4 linked regions of the Sus scrofa genome follow. The protein of the gene in region 2 interacts with the protein of the main gene of each other region in a pairwise test. Links are inferred from orthologs where the notes say so. Each region holds a gene or a part of one and is shown on either strand. Other genes may lie near its edges.

Region 1 (4,306 bases), on a different chromosome or scaffold from region 2:
ATTATTATTAGGACATAACCTTAGGTAAGGTGAGATTGCCTTATAATTCTTTTTTTTATATAGAGGAATATATTGGTTCTTTGCAGATATCTGCTATGCAACAGAATGTCATAGGATCAGGTATACTAGGCTCTATTCTTCTTCAGTGGAGGGATGTTATATAAGTCCATTAGTGAAATTTAAAGAAATTTTACCCAGACCAAGAATGACGAAGAATAATGCACCCATTTTTTTTTAATGCACCCATCTTTCCATAGGAAAACACACACACACACACACAGATTTTGAAAGAAAAAGATGAGAAAAATCTTGAATTTAAGGACTGAGGGTGTTTCGGAATCAACAGTAATAGGAACTAACATTTATTGAGTAACTTCCATGGGCTAGTTCCTTTGCAAAATTATCTCCAATCTTTGCAACAATCAGCAAGGCAGGCATCAGAAAATCGAGGTTCCTAAATATTATATAACTTGCCCAGGATCATAAAATTAAACACAACAGAGCTGGAATTGGTGCCTCTGCCAGGATCTGTCTGCCACCAAAGACCCTGCTCATTCTACTACATACTTAATGATAAAATCATGTATTTGGAAAAACTGGGGACCAGAGGATTTGAACAATTTCTCTTTCCCTCTTTTCCCTCTGAGAGCCTTTCTTTTGTTTTTGGTTCTGATGTTTTCACCCTAGAGTTTGAGTGGGATCGAATATAGGGTACCTGTAAAGAGAATGATTCCACAGCCCCCACAATATAACAATTTCTTTCCTTTAGAGCCTTACCTGGGATGTGGAAGGGACTGGGGATGGATGAGCGGAGTGGGGGTGGGGGTGGGGGTGGGGGAGTGTGTTAGAATATGGATTGTTTTTCTCTTAATTTTAGATTGTTTATAAATTTCAGGACAACTCGTTTATTTTCTTCTCTTGCTTGTCTTATTATTATTAATTTGTTCTATTTTGGGGGAGGTTGGGTGTTAAGGGTTTGGTATCTGTTGGGAATTCCTGAAATGATTTGCCAATAGATCCAAAAAAAAGTTAAGGTCAAAGACAATTCCTTCATCTGTTTCAGGAAAGGATGCGTGGGGGGGGGGGTTGATTCTGGGTCACCCTTCTTACATCCAGACGCACTGAACGGATTACAAAGGCTACCCCTTGAATCTCGAGAGGTGAAATCCAGGAGATTCCCCTCACATCCCTGCTCTCAGGTGAAGGTCCGAGTGAGAGGAACGTTCACGTACCTTCTGGAGAGAAGGAAAAGGTGTAAAGATGCTCATGGCCTGAGGCCTAGGGAGTGGGGAGGAGACCCACTAAGGTCGGTGGGGACCGAGGGGCTTCCGGGGGGCGTCGTCGGGGGCGGTCCGGCGGCCCCAGGGCGACGCAGGGAGCCCGGGGCCCCCGCCATCCCCAGGCCGCGCTCCCTCGCGTTCCCTGCGGCTCGTGCCCGGGCGGCCGCCGCAGTCCCGGCGCCGTAGCCGGGCGTGGGGTCCAGGGGGCGCTGTGGCCCAGCGGCGCCGGCGGCAGGAGCGGCCACGGCGACGCTGGAGGCTTCGCCGAGGATCCCCGCCTGCAGCACCTCGGTCGTCCCGCTGCAGCCTCGCACCCCCCGCCCGGCTCAGCGGCGCTCCTGCGGGATCCGCGTGGCTGCGGCGGCCCGGGAGCCCGATGAGGCTCGGCGGGCGCTGGGCCTCAGCACCAGCGGCGACCACAGCCCCTTCAGGAGTGGGAGGCTTCGCGGCGGCGGCGGCGGCGGCGCCTGGGGCCGGGCGGGTGCCCTCCGGAGGAGGCTGTGGGCTCAGGGACGACCCCCCGGCCATGCTGAGGCGGCGGCGGCCGCTGCTCGAGGTGAGTGTGACGCGGCGTCGCGCGGTCCCGGGCTCGCTGGCCTTTGGCCGCCCGGGGAGGGCCCTGGCGGCGAGACCTCGGGCCGGGCGGACGGGGCGTCCTGCCGCTGCGGCCGCCTCCCCCACCCAGGCTCGGGGGCCTCAGCCCTTCCTCCCCGCGTCCCCCGGGGGGCTGGAGGCGCGTGGGGGACGAGTAGGCCCCGCGTCGCCGGGAAGCCCTTGCCCCGGCCTGGGCTCCGGGGCGGCCGCGTCTGTGGAGAGCGGGGCTGGCAGGGTCCCTGGCACCCTTCGGGTTGGCCGCGGGCCCGGGCCGAGCGCAGCCTCTTACCCTGGGCCCCGCACGTACATCCCGGAGGGAGGCAGAGGACGCCTGTTTGCAAACAGCCTGGGCTTCTCGCGCCCCAGGCTCAGTCCCGAAGAGTCCCGGGGGTCGGGGGCGGGAGGGTGAGAAAGCCGGTGCGGAAAGCGCGGGGCCCTGGAAGCCCTTGGAACTCCCTGGAGTGTCATTCACCCATCCGACTGGCTTGAAAACAACCTTTTGCGTCTTCTTTGAGGTGAAATTTCATCACCTACCGGCAGCTCATCTCTGCTGCTTCTGTTACCTTTTGCTTCTAAGCGTGGTCTGCCTCGGAGAAAGCCCCATTCCAGCTTTGAGATGTTAACGTCTCCCAGATAATACTCAAAATTAGAAAAACATCTTTTTTAAAAAAACAAAGGTCTGTTCCCCCCATCACCCCTCCCCCCCGTAAGAGTGTGAGTATTGTAATGCCTTAGTCCGTGGTTCAAAATTGTCCCCCTAAATAGATCCATAGGATGGATGACAAGAGGATTTTAAAAAGTCATGCTAACTATCCCAGTAACAGAGACCTGATGGAAATAGGACATATTCTAGATTTTAGTAATTAAGTGATTTATTTTGGTATTAATATAAAAAAAAGTTGGTGATCACGGTTTGATACCATTAAGTCAGCCCTTTGGGTATTTATGATAAATGTGGTTCAGGTTATTCTTGTTTTCCTATAATGTATGTGAAGTATGGAGGATTATTAAGTACTTATAAAACTTTTATAATCCTGAAAATATATGTTTATTGTAGAAAATTTGAAAAGTACAGAGAAGTACTGTGCTGACCCTCAGTAAATGTTTAATAATAGGGGAAAAGTCACCCATCATCTTACAGAACGTTTTGGTCACTTAAAGTTTAAAATGGCTTGTATTACTGGTGATTTTTAAATTATTATCTCTGTATTAGCTTCAGAGTTAACTGTTCCATTTTACTGTTTAACATCCAGTCATTTGTATAAAAATGTTTTGCTAAATTACGTTGCAGTCATAGTTGAATTTATTAGCTACTACCTAAAAGACCCCTGATTTACCTCCTGTGCAGCTTCAGTTTTAAGGAGGTTTTGTGTATTGAACTTTTTTTTTTGAGGACCTGTTCTATTAGATGCCATAGCCTTGTATTGTTTTTTTGTTAAGATTTTCCCTAAATATTTATAACTGTAAAAAAATTGACTTCATTAAAAAGTTGGGGGGAGGTAGATTAATTTAGGTTTTAAAAAATCCAGTTCAGTTCTTACTGTGTCCCTAAAGACTATCATTATTAGAATCACTGAGAGTGCTTATTAGCATATGCAGATTCCTGGCACTCTGAACCACAATTTCTAGAGTGGTAAGTGACCCAAGATGTTCATTTTTATCAAGCTCCCCAGTACTTAGTCTTACTAAAGTTTTCGAATCACTGATAATAAGTTTAAAGTTTAACTAGCCTTATCAAGCTGAATGAAAATACCTGTTTTCTAGCAAAGTTATCAGTCTTAAGTGGCTATACAGTCATTTCTCATAGCAACAGCTGATGGTGTTATAATCTCGAGAAAATGATGATCTTTCAAGGGACAGCTGAGTCAATCTACGTAAACTTATTGAGGGCCTTTTTTGGTAGTTGTGGTGTTACAGAAGGATGCCTGGCCTCTTGAACCTTAGCTCTTAGTCTTGGACTTTGGTATCATTGTAAAATTCAGATAGTTATTATACTTATCTTGAAAGGCTTTTAGGGTAAATACATCTGAAAAAGGTTTTTGATCTGTAAAATATCTTTGTAAAATTTTATCTATTGGTATTAAGTGCCAGGTCCTGTTTTTGCTGTTTTGAGGAACACAAAAATGACCAAGGTCTCTGTTAGCAACTAGCTAATTATGGAAGCAGGATATGTTTAATTAACTGTTACAAGGCAGAGTCAGACAAGTGTAATGGAGTGGAACATGCTAGAACTCTCTTTAAGGCTTCTATAAACTGTTTAATCCAGTAGCTTGCTCTTTATTAGTAATTTTTATATATGATCATTCTTTTTTTTTTTTTTCCAACTCCTGATGCAGTGTTTTATTCTTTACAAAGAAAATTGTGTATGTTGCCTGGTAAGAGATAGTTTTATATTAACTCCTTTAGAAAGGCTTTGAGTGGAGATGATCCTG
Region 2 (3,949 bases):
TGTTTTTTTACAAGTCAGAGGTCATATTTAAATCACTAAAGCAAGGCAAGCAATTGTGCAGAGGCTGGCAGTCTTGCAGTTTGACAATGGCCATCTTCAGAGCCAAGATGCTGCTGGCCAATCAGGACGTGAAAACAACTTACAACTGCCTGCTCTGCAGGAAAAGCGCTGGCCCTCACTGCTCCCTGAACAAGATCACAAAATAAATCAGTCTCAATTTCACTTCTCTCCAACACAGTAGAACTATCGGACAAGTCAACTGCTAGTTTATTTTCCTGAACCCAAAGTTTCACCGTGCAGTTATTTAAATAAGTGAACATTAGTAATACGAAGGAGTGACAACAAACATTAAGGTTTTATCACCTGTAAGGCAGACTTTCCAAGGTGGCGTGTAGAAGTGATGCCTCCTTAGGAAAAACTACTAAAAGTTTAGAGTAGCTGTAGTGGTTAAAATCTAAAACCAACATGGTGTTCTCTTAAATAAGACCTCACTTTTGAGTTGTCTTTTTTTTTTTTTTTTTTTTTTTTAGTGCTATTACTGAGTTACTTCTCAACTAGCCCGTAGAGTCCTCCACCTTTTTTTTAAAAGTGAACTAACATGTAAAAAATTCTACCAAGGTCACAAAACTCACATTCCCTCCCTTAAATACTAAAAATTTAAGTATATTTTCAGATATACTTAAAATCTTAAGTGAAAATTTTGTGAGGCATTAAAAAAAATTCACAAACTTATTATCAACATCTTCTATCTTGGATGTTATACAGATCCTCAGTGGATTATTTTTCACTGTTTCTCCATCAATTTAACATTTATGAGAAAAAAAGGAAGTCTGATGAACAGCTAGCTTACTCCCAAGGCATTAAAACACAACATTATATTAATGTCAGTGAAAAAAAAAATGAAATTTAAAAAAAACCCTGGTTTTTCAAGTGCAATATTTATATAGAAACCATTAAAAAACAATTGCTCTCATTTTAGATTATCCAAGTTTATCAAGGAAAATTTCTTAGCACACTTTAAAATATATGGATATAAGACTCATGGGCAACCTAGAATTTATCTTAAAATTCTAATGTTTTGAATCCACAGACCCCCTTTCTCAATGAAATAAAGCCCACTCTTTCGGCACATGCACCCCTGGATAGATACGCACAAGTTAATTCACAACTTTTGAACCAAAAAAAACTAAGTTCTTAGTGCCAACTGCTTTAATCTTTCTGACCCACTGCTGCTCACATAAATCAAAGAACTCTATTAATATTTAATATTAATATTAAAAGTGTTGTTCTTATAATAAATGCCAAGTACTGAGTAAATAGGGTTTTCACCCACAAATGGCAGAAGCATTTTAGGGGTCTATTTAATGGGTTCTTCTTTTGAGAAACTAGAAAAGGAAAACACCCCACACAGATTAAGATATTTTCAGGAGTTTCATTCTAATGACTTAAAAGATCTGCAAACTCTAACATCAGAGCTGACCAACTGTTCATGCTCTCGACTCCATCTCCCACAACATTTACAGCAGTATTTTAGAACTGCACAAAGGCAAAAACCAGTTAAAAACTCGGCCAAACCTACATTATCAAGAACCCGAATCAGGAAAGATTTGAATTCTTTCAAAGTTTGGAATTAGACATCAGTATTAATAGGTGGGCTCTGGAATTTGGGGGTAGTGGGGAATGATTTCACTTCAGCGTCCCTCCTTAAAATCCCTACTTCATCTGTCACCCATATCAATATGAATCAACTGTCAGACACCTCACGAGTCTTAGGTCACCCAATATTAAAGATTTATTTTAACCTCTGCTTAACCACTGGACACCTCCTTCCTTCACACACAGGCTGACTTGAATGAATTCTTGCTCCTGGATGTCTGGGTTTTAAACCTGTCACCGTGTGACCTTGGTAAAGTGACTTCTCTTAGTTTCCTCTAAAAAAAAATAGGAAAAAAAGAGCACCTATCTCATAAGACTGTTGGGAGAATTACAAGAAATCTGTGTAAAGTGCTCCAAAAATGCCCGACACATAGTAAACACTGGCTAATACTAAGATTGTATTTATCAGATGAACGCAAAGCGCTTAACACAGAGAATGGCACACTGGAAAGATTCTAACGAAACTGTCACCGCTGCTGGCTGCACGGTTCGGAGGCACGTTCAGAAAAGAGCGCGGAGACCTCAAGGTAAGAACAACTTTAAAAAAGTGTTTGGGAAGAGTAGGAGATGGGATTCAACATCCTCTTGAGATTTGAACGTTCGTCACCAAGTAACAAGAAACGGGCCAGTGGACCCCAACCTCACAAAAAATAAAAATGAGAAGCAAAGAAATTAGTCCTCAAGCCCGGGAGGATCCATAGCCCCATCACATTGCTTTCCGAGAGGAGGAGTTACCAGAAAGTTCGGAACATTTCTTCTTGCAGAATGGACTGGGGCCCCCCAATCTTCTCCGAAGATTGGCCGGGGTTGCGGGGCGCATGGGGGGCACGTACCGGAAACGTGGGGGTGGGGAGCGGAGTTTTCAAATTTCACGGCCAGGAGAAAGGCTGCACCCTCGTGCAATGAATGAGCGGAGCTGGAGGGTCCGCGGATTAGGCCAAGAGCGGGACCACGGGCGGCCTCCCTCCGGCTGCAGCCCCCGGCTCGGGGGCGAACTCGTGGGGCTCACTCCCCTCGGCGCTGCAAGCCCAAGAGGCCTCCCAAATCCCCCACCCTCGCGAGTTCCCGGAGCCGCCCGCCGCCCCCTTCACCTTCCAGCAGCCGTTGGATGATGCTGTCGATGTTGAGTTTATCTATATCCGCCATCGCCTTCCCACCGCCGACCCTCCCGTAGCGGCGCCGCCACCGGCTCGCGCCCGGGATTCACGCCTCCTTTCCCACGCCACGAGCACAGAAATGGTGGTGGCGGCGGTGGCAGAAGCCGCGGCGGGTCCCCCCCAACCGCCCCGCTCCCTGCTTCCTCCTCTCTCCCTACTGGAACCACGAGAAGAACAAAATGGCCGCCGACTCCTTAGCCAGCCTCGGGCGGCGCACGAATGCGCGCGGGGGAGTGCAGCGGCCCGGCCGGGACTTCTTTATGGGCCACAGGGCACGCGGGAGGGGGCGGGATCAGGGCTCGGGAAGGAGGCGGGGCCAGAGCGCGGGAAGGGGGAGGAGACAGTTGAGCACAACCGCGTTCGCGCGCGGAATCCTTCCGCCAAACGGGCTGAGCAAATAGGTCCTGTGGCGGGAGCGTGAGTTGCAAAGTCGCACGCGGGAGTTGTGGCCTGGGGTGAAGCTGCAGTTGTGCGCCCAAAGATTCGGCCTCCGCAGGACGCTGTTCATTGGGGCCAGATGTTTGCGGACCTGGCCATGTGAAAGCCCATGGAGGGAATCCGGGGGTGCTGGAATTTCCCCTAAACATAAATCTGGGGTAGAGGTGAAGAGGGAGAATAATAAAGAGAAGTAGGGTGACTTTTTTTGGAGTCAGATTTGCTGGGATTTGGGGGTAAGGGGAAGGCTTGATAACTAGGAAAAAAAGTCGTCTCTCAGATAAATAAAAATGTTAACAGTTACTCATTTTGAGTGGTGGATTTCCACCTGTATTTACAGGTATTTATATGTACAGTTTTTTTGGGGGCGCTCTCAAACTTTGGGGGAATTTTTTTAAAAAATCTTGAAAAAATTAATCATCCCTATCTTTGGATTATCTTTCTAGAATTCGGGAAGTTATATAATCATCGGAACGGTTACCCTGATTCTAGGCAGAACGAAGGTGAGCGAGCGTTCACCTTCAAATAAAGGGAGAATTTGCAGATTTCGCGCGTCCGAGCTCTTGGCCAGAAGAGAGCAAGTGTTTGCGGGCGGGTCCTGATTTCTGCAGATACCCCGGGAAACTTTGGCCCTTTTCCTTCGGCTTCCCAGTCTCCCCAAGGGCATCGCTCTCCAGCCCCCCCCTCCCGCCCCCCGCCTC
Region 3 (4,296 bases), on a different chromosome or scaffold from region 2:
AGTTATTTCTCATTACCAAGTTTATCTTTAATGGCATGACTTCAAAGGTCTGCCCAAGTATGGGAACTGAATTAAAAAACCCAGTTTTAATTTCACAGAAGAAAAGAGTCAACATAGCACAAGTATAGTTAATCTCATCCAAAAGTACCAGTTCTTATTCTGGAGCCACCAGTCATCAGGTCATGGGGACCGGAGTCTGGTCGGTCTCAACCTGCCCTACACACACACAACGCTCCCACTTCTGTGCTCAGCTGACAGTCAGCAGCCACCTCTGGGCCTCAGAGGAAGTCCTGTAGGACCCACTTCTACCAAGAGGCAGAAGCAATGCCTCCCACAGAGCCTTCTCACCAAAAACACTGCGGGGAGAATCAGACCCCAAGTCCCTTCAAGCCGGTCTCTGTTTGCAGAGTGACTACTTGAGACCCCTGAGATGGAGTGAGAAGAGAGAGAAAATGGTACGCAGGGCAGATTCTGGAGACAGACAAGTGCAACAGCAGCCAGGGAGCAAAAGGCTTCAAGTCAGCAATTATTTGATTCCCTCCTCCCAACACTCCATCCCAGCCTTCTCCGGCTGGAGTTGGGAGGATCCTTGCCACTTCATAAGCAGGCACCCCAGCCAGTGTCCCATCTTCCCATCCACAGGGGGTTCCCCTTTGGAAGGTCTCCAGCACTGGTTATGCCAGAAAGAAACCCCTTGGGAGTGAGTGGACCCAGCCTCAGCAGGGCTGGCCGAGGCTTCCTCTGGCTGGGCTGGTTTCCCCCGCCAGAGGTGAAGAAGGGGAGAAGGCAAATCCCCTGGGATTTTGTGCTTTGTCTGCTCCAGGTAGCCACTGGGCTCTCCATCTCAAAGCCTCCCTCTGCAGGCGGCCTGCCACCCCAGGACAGCCACCCTGGTCCCATCTCCTCCTTCCCGGGATCAGCATGGGCACTCAAAATTCGAAGTGCCTCCCCCGGCTCACCACCACCGCATCCTCACTCTGGGGCCACTCAGTGCACATTCCTCCTTTGGCATCACTTGCCCATGAGTTAGGTCAGCAGGCAGAGGGTGCCCCCCACCCTAAACCCTTTCCTCCAGAAGTCCCCCAGGGCCGGGGGACGTACGTCCCTGTGCTCAGCGCATTGGGATTGGTGGCCTCCGCGTCTCTGAGCCTCAACTCTACTTCCGAAAAATTCCGCGTTGAACTCACGCCTCTTAAAAGTCCGGCCACTGGGCTGGGTTGTTTTCGTTGGGTTCGTTTTTGTGGCGGTGTTTTGCCGCTCATTAACTTGTTTCATTCGGTTTCGCTGCCTCCCCGTCACTAAGGGCCCTTTAAGTGGGAGGGGCTGTTAGGAAAGGCTCCAATTTGCGGGAGCCCCGCTCCCCCCAGGAGAACTCAACAATGAGCTAATGACAATTTTATCTTTCTAATGACTTGAGGATTTGTGTAAATGAGAGAGGCAGCGGGGGAGGGATGCAGGAAGCACAGAGAAGAGCCTTTCCATCCCTAAGCCTCCCCGAGTCTTTACCTGAAAGGAAGAAAGCCCCAAAGTTTCTAAACTTTTTTCTTGGTCCTCTCCGCACCAGTCCTGGAGCAACTTAGCTGAATGACTAGCTAAGGAAAGAGTTGTGTATGTGTGTGTTTGTGTGTATGTGTGTGCGTTTTAAAAGCTCCCCGAACCTAAGAAAATAAACAAAGCTGAGCCTTAGCTTTTTCTCGGCCTTTCTGAGCTTCCCAGATTTGGGGTTTGGGTGTTTGTTTCCTGGCGCATCCCATCTGCGGGGGCGGGGGGGGGCGCGTCAGAATTCCCATGGGGACTCGGGTCCCTCCCAGAGGAAAGATGAGCTCTTCTCGGAACCAGAGCTAAGGCTTTGTTTCAGGTGCGGAGAAAGCGAGACTGGATCCCCGGGACAGCGGCTCCAGGAACCGGACCGGGTGTGCGCCGGGCTCGCCCAGCCGCGCACCACTTCGGACGGGTTGGAAGCTCTTGGGGCCGATGGGCACGGCTGAGAGCAACCTCCAGGGAGCACGTCCCCCGTCCCGGGGCGCAGTGTAGACAGCCCCGGGGCCCCCGCCTCACCTTGGGGCTTGGAGGCCTCGGTGGCGTTAGGCGGGGTCATGGCGATGCAGACGTCGCCCTCGGGGAACTTGTCACACTTGAGCATCTCGGGCCAGTAGAAGCCGAAGAACTGCATGACGGGCTCGCACGAGTCGCGCACGGCCTCGCAGAGCCAGCGGCAAGGGTAGATGGGCCGGTCCAGGCAGACGGGCGCGAAGAGCGAACAGAGGAAGACCTGGGTGCCGATGTGGCAGTTCTTGTTGAGCAGGGGCACCCAGCTGCTGGCCTGCTGCTTCACCTCGGCCATGGTCTCGTGCTCCAGCAGGTTAGGCAGCACCATCTTCTTGTAGCCCACGTTGTGGCAGAGCCGCAGGTCTACCGGGATGTCCACGCACTGCGGCGGCTTGGTGTAGAAGCGCCCGCTCTGGTACGAGCCAATGTCCGACTGGAAACTCACGTAGTCGTACTCGCTGGCCGAACCCGCGGCCAGGAGCCCGGCGGCCAGCGCCAGCAGCACTCCCGCCGCGGCCCAGCGCCCGCCGCCCATGCTCGGCGCCCCGGCCCCCGCGACGCGGGGCGTCCTCGGCCGCCTCCCCGCGCGCGTCCCGCCGCGAACTTCCAGGGACCCTCGCGGACAAAAGGCGCAGTCCGCACCCGCCGCAGCTCAGCGGCCGCGGGCTCCTGCCCGGCGCTGGATGGGGGCCCTGGGGAGCTCGCGCGGGGAGGCGAGCGCGCGGCCCGAGTGCGGCGCGGCTCCCGAGGCGGCGGGACCCGAGTCCCCGGCGCTCCCGCGGCCGAGCCCTCCGAGCCGCGCCAGCCAATCACGCTGGCCGCCGCGAGCGCTCAGGACCCGCCCGTCAGTCACCCGCGCCGCCGGCCAATCGGCTTGCGGCTCCCCGGCGGGAGGGGTCGGTTCCCTAGAACTCAGCGCAGGTCAACACCCCTTAAAAAACAAAACCAAAAAATAAATGAAGAAAGAAAGAAGGGGGGAGAGAGAGGAAGAAAAAAAAAGGAGGGGGGAGAGAGACGACGGATAGAAGTGTGCGGTGGATAAAGACGATGTTTAACGCTGTAATTAACTTGAGTGGGATCACAGGAAAGCAAAGAACCGCAACAGTACTTGCAAATCCATAAGATAATGAAGACTTTAAAAAACATAAAAATAAACACTTTTTCGTAACTTTACGCAGCAGCCCACCTCCTCGGGTTTGTTCTCCGTGGCTGCGGTACGCAGACGGGCAGTTTCCAAGACCCGGCTCACGAAGCCTACAGCGAAGGAGGTCGGCTTTTAAATCCCCAGCTGGTCGTCTTGGCTTCCCGCAAAGAACCAGGGAAAGGGGTAGTCGGGTTGTCCGCTGGCTTTAAAAGGCAATGCCTTTCCAAGGTGGGACAAGATGATTGATGGCCCTCCGACCCCCTGGAGGCAGTGAGTCGGGAAAGGGTGCTCGCAAAGGTGTTAGCCTGGGGAGGACAATTACAAAAAGAAAAAGAAGAAAGAAAGAAACCCCTGCTCGAGGCCCAGCCCGACAGCTCGTCTGTGTGTGCACGCATATGCACGTTGACATGTTTGTGGTATAGAAAGCCACAACATTAGAAACACATGCGCACTTATCAGCGTGGCTTGTGTAAATATCAAGTCCATCACTCAAGCACACATGCTACATTCATAGCTGGCCCAGGAGCCTCCAGTCAAAAATTCAGGGTTCCCGGTAAGGCAGAAGAAGCCAAGAGGGAAGTATGAGCAGAGAAACAGCTCGGCCTTCTCATCGAGCCCTGGACACCCACCCTGAAACAGAACTCTCCCCCACCACCCTCTGACCCAGAGGCCCTGGGGATTCCTTGTATGTTTCAAAAGGGTACCCTGAGAGGGAAGTGTAATCCAGAAAGCTGGGGGTGTAATTATGATTAATCCCAGGGCAGGGAGATAGCAACAAGCAGTTCATGCGGCTGTCTGGGTCTCCCACCCTGAAGTGTGGGGTGAAGGAAGGCATCTGAGCAGGGCGGCACCACCCCCAGGTGGCAAATGGGCCACAGAGCTCTGAGCTCAGGGCAGACATGGGAGAAGGCGCTGTCTTGCTGGGCTAGCTTGTTTGTAAAGCTCTGGGGAAGCTTGCTCTGGACGCTGCAGAGCAAATTTCTTGATGGACAGATTCCAAGTCAAACGACTAGCGTTTTGGAAGGAGCCAGGCTATTTTCTTAAAGCACTCCGGCCTCTACGCAGGTGGGGGTTCCGCTGTGCACATGGGCAACGTCTGCAGA
Region 4 (3,988 bases), on a different chromosome or scaffold from region 2:
TCGGAGTTCTGTGGCCACCCTGTCACTCTCCTGTCTCCTCACCCATTTTAATTTTTGCCACTAGTTACTGTTCTCTTTTCTTTCCTTTTTTTTTTTTTTTTGTCTTTTTAGGGCCACACCCGCAGCATATGGAGGTTCCCAGGCCAGCGGTCTCATTGGAGCTGTAGCTGCCGGCCTACACCACAGCCACAGCAACGCCAGATCCTTAACCCACTGAGGAAGGCCAGGGATCCAACTTGCATCCTCATGGACTCGTTTCCGATGAGCCACGACGGAACTCCTACTGTTCTCTTTTCTGAAGCCAGGGCCTGACTTTCGGGAAGCATTCAGAGCTGGAGGAGTGACCCGTTCCGGGCCCTGGGAGGACCATGCAGAAGGGCTGCAGGTGACCCTGAGCTTGTGACTGAGCCAGCTCGATGGACAGGACCACCACTCGGCTGTGTGCGCAGCCGTGTCAGGCCAGGCTCGACGGGCACTGGGGCACAGAGCTAGCAGTGGTGCCCCAGGCACTGCCCACCCCCAGCGCTCAGCCCAGAAGAAACACGGGAGGTCTGTCAGCAACAGCGAGCAAGGCTTGCCCTGGCCTTGCGGGCCCGGGGAGGGTGTCCATTCCCGCTACTTGGTGCTGTGGCCCCACCTGGTTCTCCACGTCCACCCTACAGCCCAGCCCCCTTCCGCCTGCCGAGACCGCGAAGCTGGCAGTGCCTCCTCTGCGCCAGTCCGCAGCCTCTCCGCATCTCTGGAGACCTGGCCATTTAAACCAACTCCAGTCTCTCCACCTCCCGCACACCCCGCTTCTTCACACTGGAAGCTCAGTGAAGACTGGTCTGCGGGCCCTGTCTCTGTGCGCCCCCCGCCACGCACTCCTCTGCCAGCACCAATCTGCCCAGGCTTCGTGTCCGTCCGACACAGCCGCCCAGCAAGGACACGGCCAGCACCCAATGTCCACCGCAGGCCCCGCCCCACTGCCGTCACTGGGTTCTGGGCACAAGCTCGTCCTCCAGAGGCCTCTCCTCTGGGCATCTGCGCGACCAAGTGCTCCTGTGCCTCTCTCTCCCCGGCTCTCAGTCCGACGTGCCTAAGGCCAGAGAGCTTGGAAGGGGTGGGGTGAGGCTCACTCCCTCCCCCTCACTGCTGCAAGGGTTCAGTATGGGGGTGGCACGACACACACGTGGAAAGGGGGTCAGAAGTGGGGGCAGAGGCAGAGGACGGGGGCTAGTGTGCAGACATGCAAGTGTTAATCCTGAAGCCTGTGAGGGAGGAGAGTGCAAGAAGCTGATGTGCTATGGCGAGAAGGATGCCATCCAGGGGCTGAGACAAAGCCAAGATTGGCCAGGGGTGAGTGCTTAATCCTGGAAGGAAACGAGGAGCCACAGGGGCAGGCGAAGGGATGGACAGGAGGGCCAGGACCAGGGCTCTTTAGGAGGAAGTTCTGAGGGAGCCTGGAAGTGAAAGGAGACACTGCGTCTTGCTCTGGCTGACACACGGACTGTGGCAGAGGTGCTGGGCTGGGTCACTCTTGGGACAGAGATGCTGGGCTGAGTCACCAGAGGTTTATGAGACTGAGGTTCCAGAACTGCCCGCAGAGGCACACAAACTGTTGCGGAAATCCCAAGAACACAGACCCCAACTGAGCCCACAGACACAAGAGCCCCCTCGCTAGGTGCCGGCCAGGCAGCCTTCTAGGGAGAGCAGAGTCCAGGCACAGCCCGAGCGGGTGAGGCCAGTGGAGAGCCCACCAGAGGGAAGCGTTCCCACCCCGGCTCTGAGCAAGAGCTTACAGGCAGGGCGCAGCTGATCGGAGCACCACGTGCCCACCACCACAAGGGTTCCAGGGCCAGCCCCTGTACTGCCGGCTCCAGGCAGCCACAGGTCCTCGGGTAACTCAGCTCCAGGCTGGGGATCCACTGGATGCCCCTGAAGTGCACTAGGTGGCCCCGCCAGAGCCACAGAGGCCCTTTTACTCTGCCCCCAGGGAGAGCTCCCCCTCCTGCTGGGGAGCACCCGGAGCAGCAAAGACAGGGCAGAGAAGAGCAGTGTGGAGCCCCTGTCACCTCACCCCCAAATTAAGGATCCGGGAAGAACAGGCAGGCCCCCAGCTTTGGGAAGGGCTGGCCTTCCTCCCGCCTCCGTGGGCCTGCGATGACCCCGTACACACTGGCCCTCTCTGCACCCGCGGAGATCCAGCCCACCGTGGCCTCGGCCTCGGCTCCACCACACGGAGGACACCCCCTCCCAGGCCTGGAGCACCTCCGGGCCAGCGCAGGGCCAGGCACTTTCAGTACATTCGTTATCGTTCTTGCCGTGACAGCAATCTCGGCGCCGGAGCCCGGGGGCCCCTGGAAGGCTCCCCGTCGCTCCTCCGGCCTAAAGCCCACACAAAGCCCGGGCAGGTCACTCCTCTGCAGGCCTTAATTTCCTCAGCCAGAAATGGAGATAACGTTAGTGCCGCCTACCTGACCAACAGGTCGCAAGAAAGGAAACAACGGCACGGACGGCTAGAGGGTGAAAAGCCTATCGGTGGCCTTCACGGCCGCCACTTCTGCAGCCGTCCCGACCCTGAGCACCCGCGGCCCGGGCCTCGCCCATCAGCGCCCGAGCGGGGCCGCGGAAAAATCCCGCCGGACTCGGCGTCGCCCGCCCCGCGGGTCCCTGCAGGCCCCCCGGGGCCCCGGAAGTCCGCGCCTCACCTTCCGCCCGGAGCCAGCAGCCACCGCGCAGCCGATCGGATCCCGGCGGCCGGCCAGTCCGCCCGGCGCTCCTCCCGGCGCCGCGGGGGCGGCCCCGCGCCGGGCCCTCGCCATGGCAACGCTACACTTCCGGCTCAGAGCCGGAAGCCGGGTCGCCCCGGGCAGCGGGGCCGCCTGGGGGCGGGGCCCGCCGACGGCGCGGCGAGACCCGCTTCGGCCCGGGCGTTCTCCGCGCGGGGGGCGCCTGAAGGGCGAGGGGCCGACAGGTTCCCGGGAGGGTGGTCATCCCTTTAGCCCAAGCTTTTCTCTTTTCAGAGCCGCACCCGCGGCGTATGGAAGTTCCCAGGCTAGCGATCCAGTTGGAGCTGTAGCCGCCAGCCTACACCACAGCCACAGCAAGCAGCAACGCTGGATCCTTAACCCACTGAGCCAGGCCAGGGAGCGAACGTGCGTCCTCATGGATGTTACTGGAGTTCGTGAACCGCTGAGCCACAAACTCCTAGGCTGAGCTTTTTTTTTTTTTTTTTTTTTCTTTTGTCTTTTTTGTTGTTGTTGCTATTTCTTGGGCCGCTCCCGAGGCATATGGAGGTTCCCAGGCTAGGGGTTGAATCGGAGCTGTAGCCACCGGCCTACGCCAGAGCCACAGCAACGTGAGATCCGAGCCGCGTCTGCAACCTACACCACAGCTCACGGCAACGCCGGATCGTTAACCCACTGAGCAAGGGCAGGGACCGAACCCGCATCCTCATGGTTCCTAGTCGGATTCGTTAACCACTGCGCCACCACGGGAACTCCGTAGGCTGAGCTTTTTAAGGAGGGTTAGAGTTTGCTCCACGAAGCAGAAAGAAGCATCACGGATGGAGGGAAGAGCATGCGCAAAGGTGGAAAGAGCCAGGGCTATGGGGCGATGGGACAAGCTGAGGTGTGGTTTAGGTAGGCTTGGGCTGGTGGGGGTGTAAGTGCGGTCAGGGATCAGTCGTCAGGACAAGAGGGGCCTTGAACATAGAACCAAGAGCTGGGCTTTATCCTGGAAGCAAGGGAGTGCCAGTGGAAGAGAGGGGATGTCTTAAGGCATGTGGGAAAGAAGGACGCCTCTACTGACTGAGTGGGGCTAGGAGGCCACAATAGTTTAATGAGACACAAGGACCCCTCAATGAGCCCTGGCAATTGACAGGTGTCGAGGAGGTGACGCAGGAGTCCAGAGGAAGCCAGGTGAAGTCTGAGGCGCCTGAGACAGTGGAGGGAGCAGTGTGGTACCCGCATACCTCACCCAGCTCAGCCCCGTCGCTCCTCCAGTG

Evidence for each region. The genes of interacting proteins can lie anywhere in the genome.
Region 1: the proteins of PPP1CC (region 2) and ZFYVE9 interact in binary tests that used the Homo sapiens proteins (3 or more experiments, as listed by UniProt). The link is inferred for Sus scrofa from reciprocal best matches to the Homo sapiens genes PPP1CC and ZFYVE9.
Region 3: the proteins of PPP1CC (region 2) and SFRP1 interact in a two-hybrid assay, tested with the Homo sapiens proteins (2 studies listed by BioGRID). The link is inferred for Sus scrofa from reciprocal best matches to the Homo sapiens genes PPP1CC and SFRP1.
Region 4: the proteins of PPP1CC (region 2) and PPP1R16A interact in binary tests that used the Homo sapiens proteins (3 or more experiments, as listed by UniProt). The link is inferred for Sus scrofa from reciprocal best matches to the Homo sapiens genes PPP1CC and PPP1R16A.

What each region holds. Positions count from the first base shown.
Region 1 is NC_010448.4:160,071,675-160,075,980, reverse strand, and holds the start of ZFYVE9 (zinc finger FYVE domain-containing protein 9), read left to right. Parts: upstream 1-1,505; 5' UTR 1,506-1,836; exon of another isoform or gene 1,837-1,899; intron 1,900-2,163; exon of another isoform or gene 2,164-2,342; intron 2,343-4,306. UniProt on the Homo sapiens protein: Early endosomal protein that functions to recruit SMAD2/SMAD3 to intracellular membranes and to the TGF-beta receptor.
Region 2 is NC_010456.5:32,088,466-32,092,414, forward strand, and holds the start of PPP1CC (serine/threonine-protein phosphatase PP1-gamma catalytic subunit), read right to left. Parts: upstream 2,803-3,949; coding exon 2,748-2,802; intron 1-2,747. UniProt on the Homo sapiens protein: Protein phosphatase that associates with over 200 regulatory proteins to form highly specific holoenzymes which dephosphorylate hundreds of biological targets.
Region 3 is NC_010459.5:10,486,973-10,491,268, forward strand, and holds the start of SFRP1 (secreted frizzled-related protein 1), read right to left. Parts: upstream 2,802-4,296; 5' UTR 2,585-2,801; coding exon 2,059-2,584; intron 1-2,058. UniProt on the Homo sapiens protein: Soluble frizzled-related proteins (sFRPS) function as modulators of Wnt signaling through direct interaction with Wnts. They have a role in regulating cell growth and differentiation in specific cell types. SFRP1 decreases intracellular beta-catenin levels.
Region 4 is NC_010446.5:317,247-321,234, forward strand, and holds the start of PPP1R16A (protein phosphatase 1 regulatory subunit 16A), read right to left. Parts: upstream 2,802-3,988; 5' UTR 2,691-2,801; intron 2,685-2,690; exon of another isoform or gene 2,457-2,684; intron 1-2,456. UniProt on the Homo sapiens protein: Inhibits protein phosphatase 1 activity toward phosphorylase, myosin light chain and myosin substrates.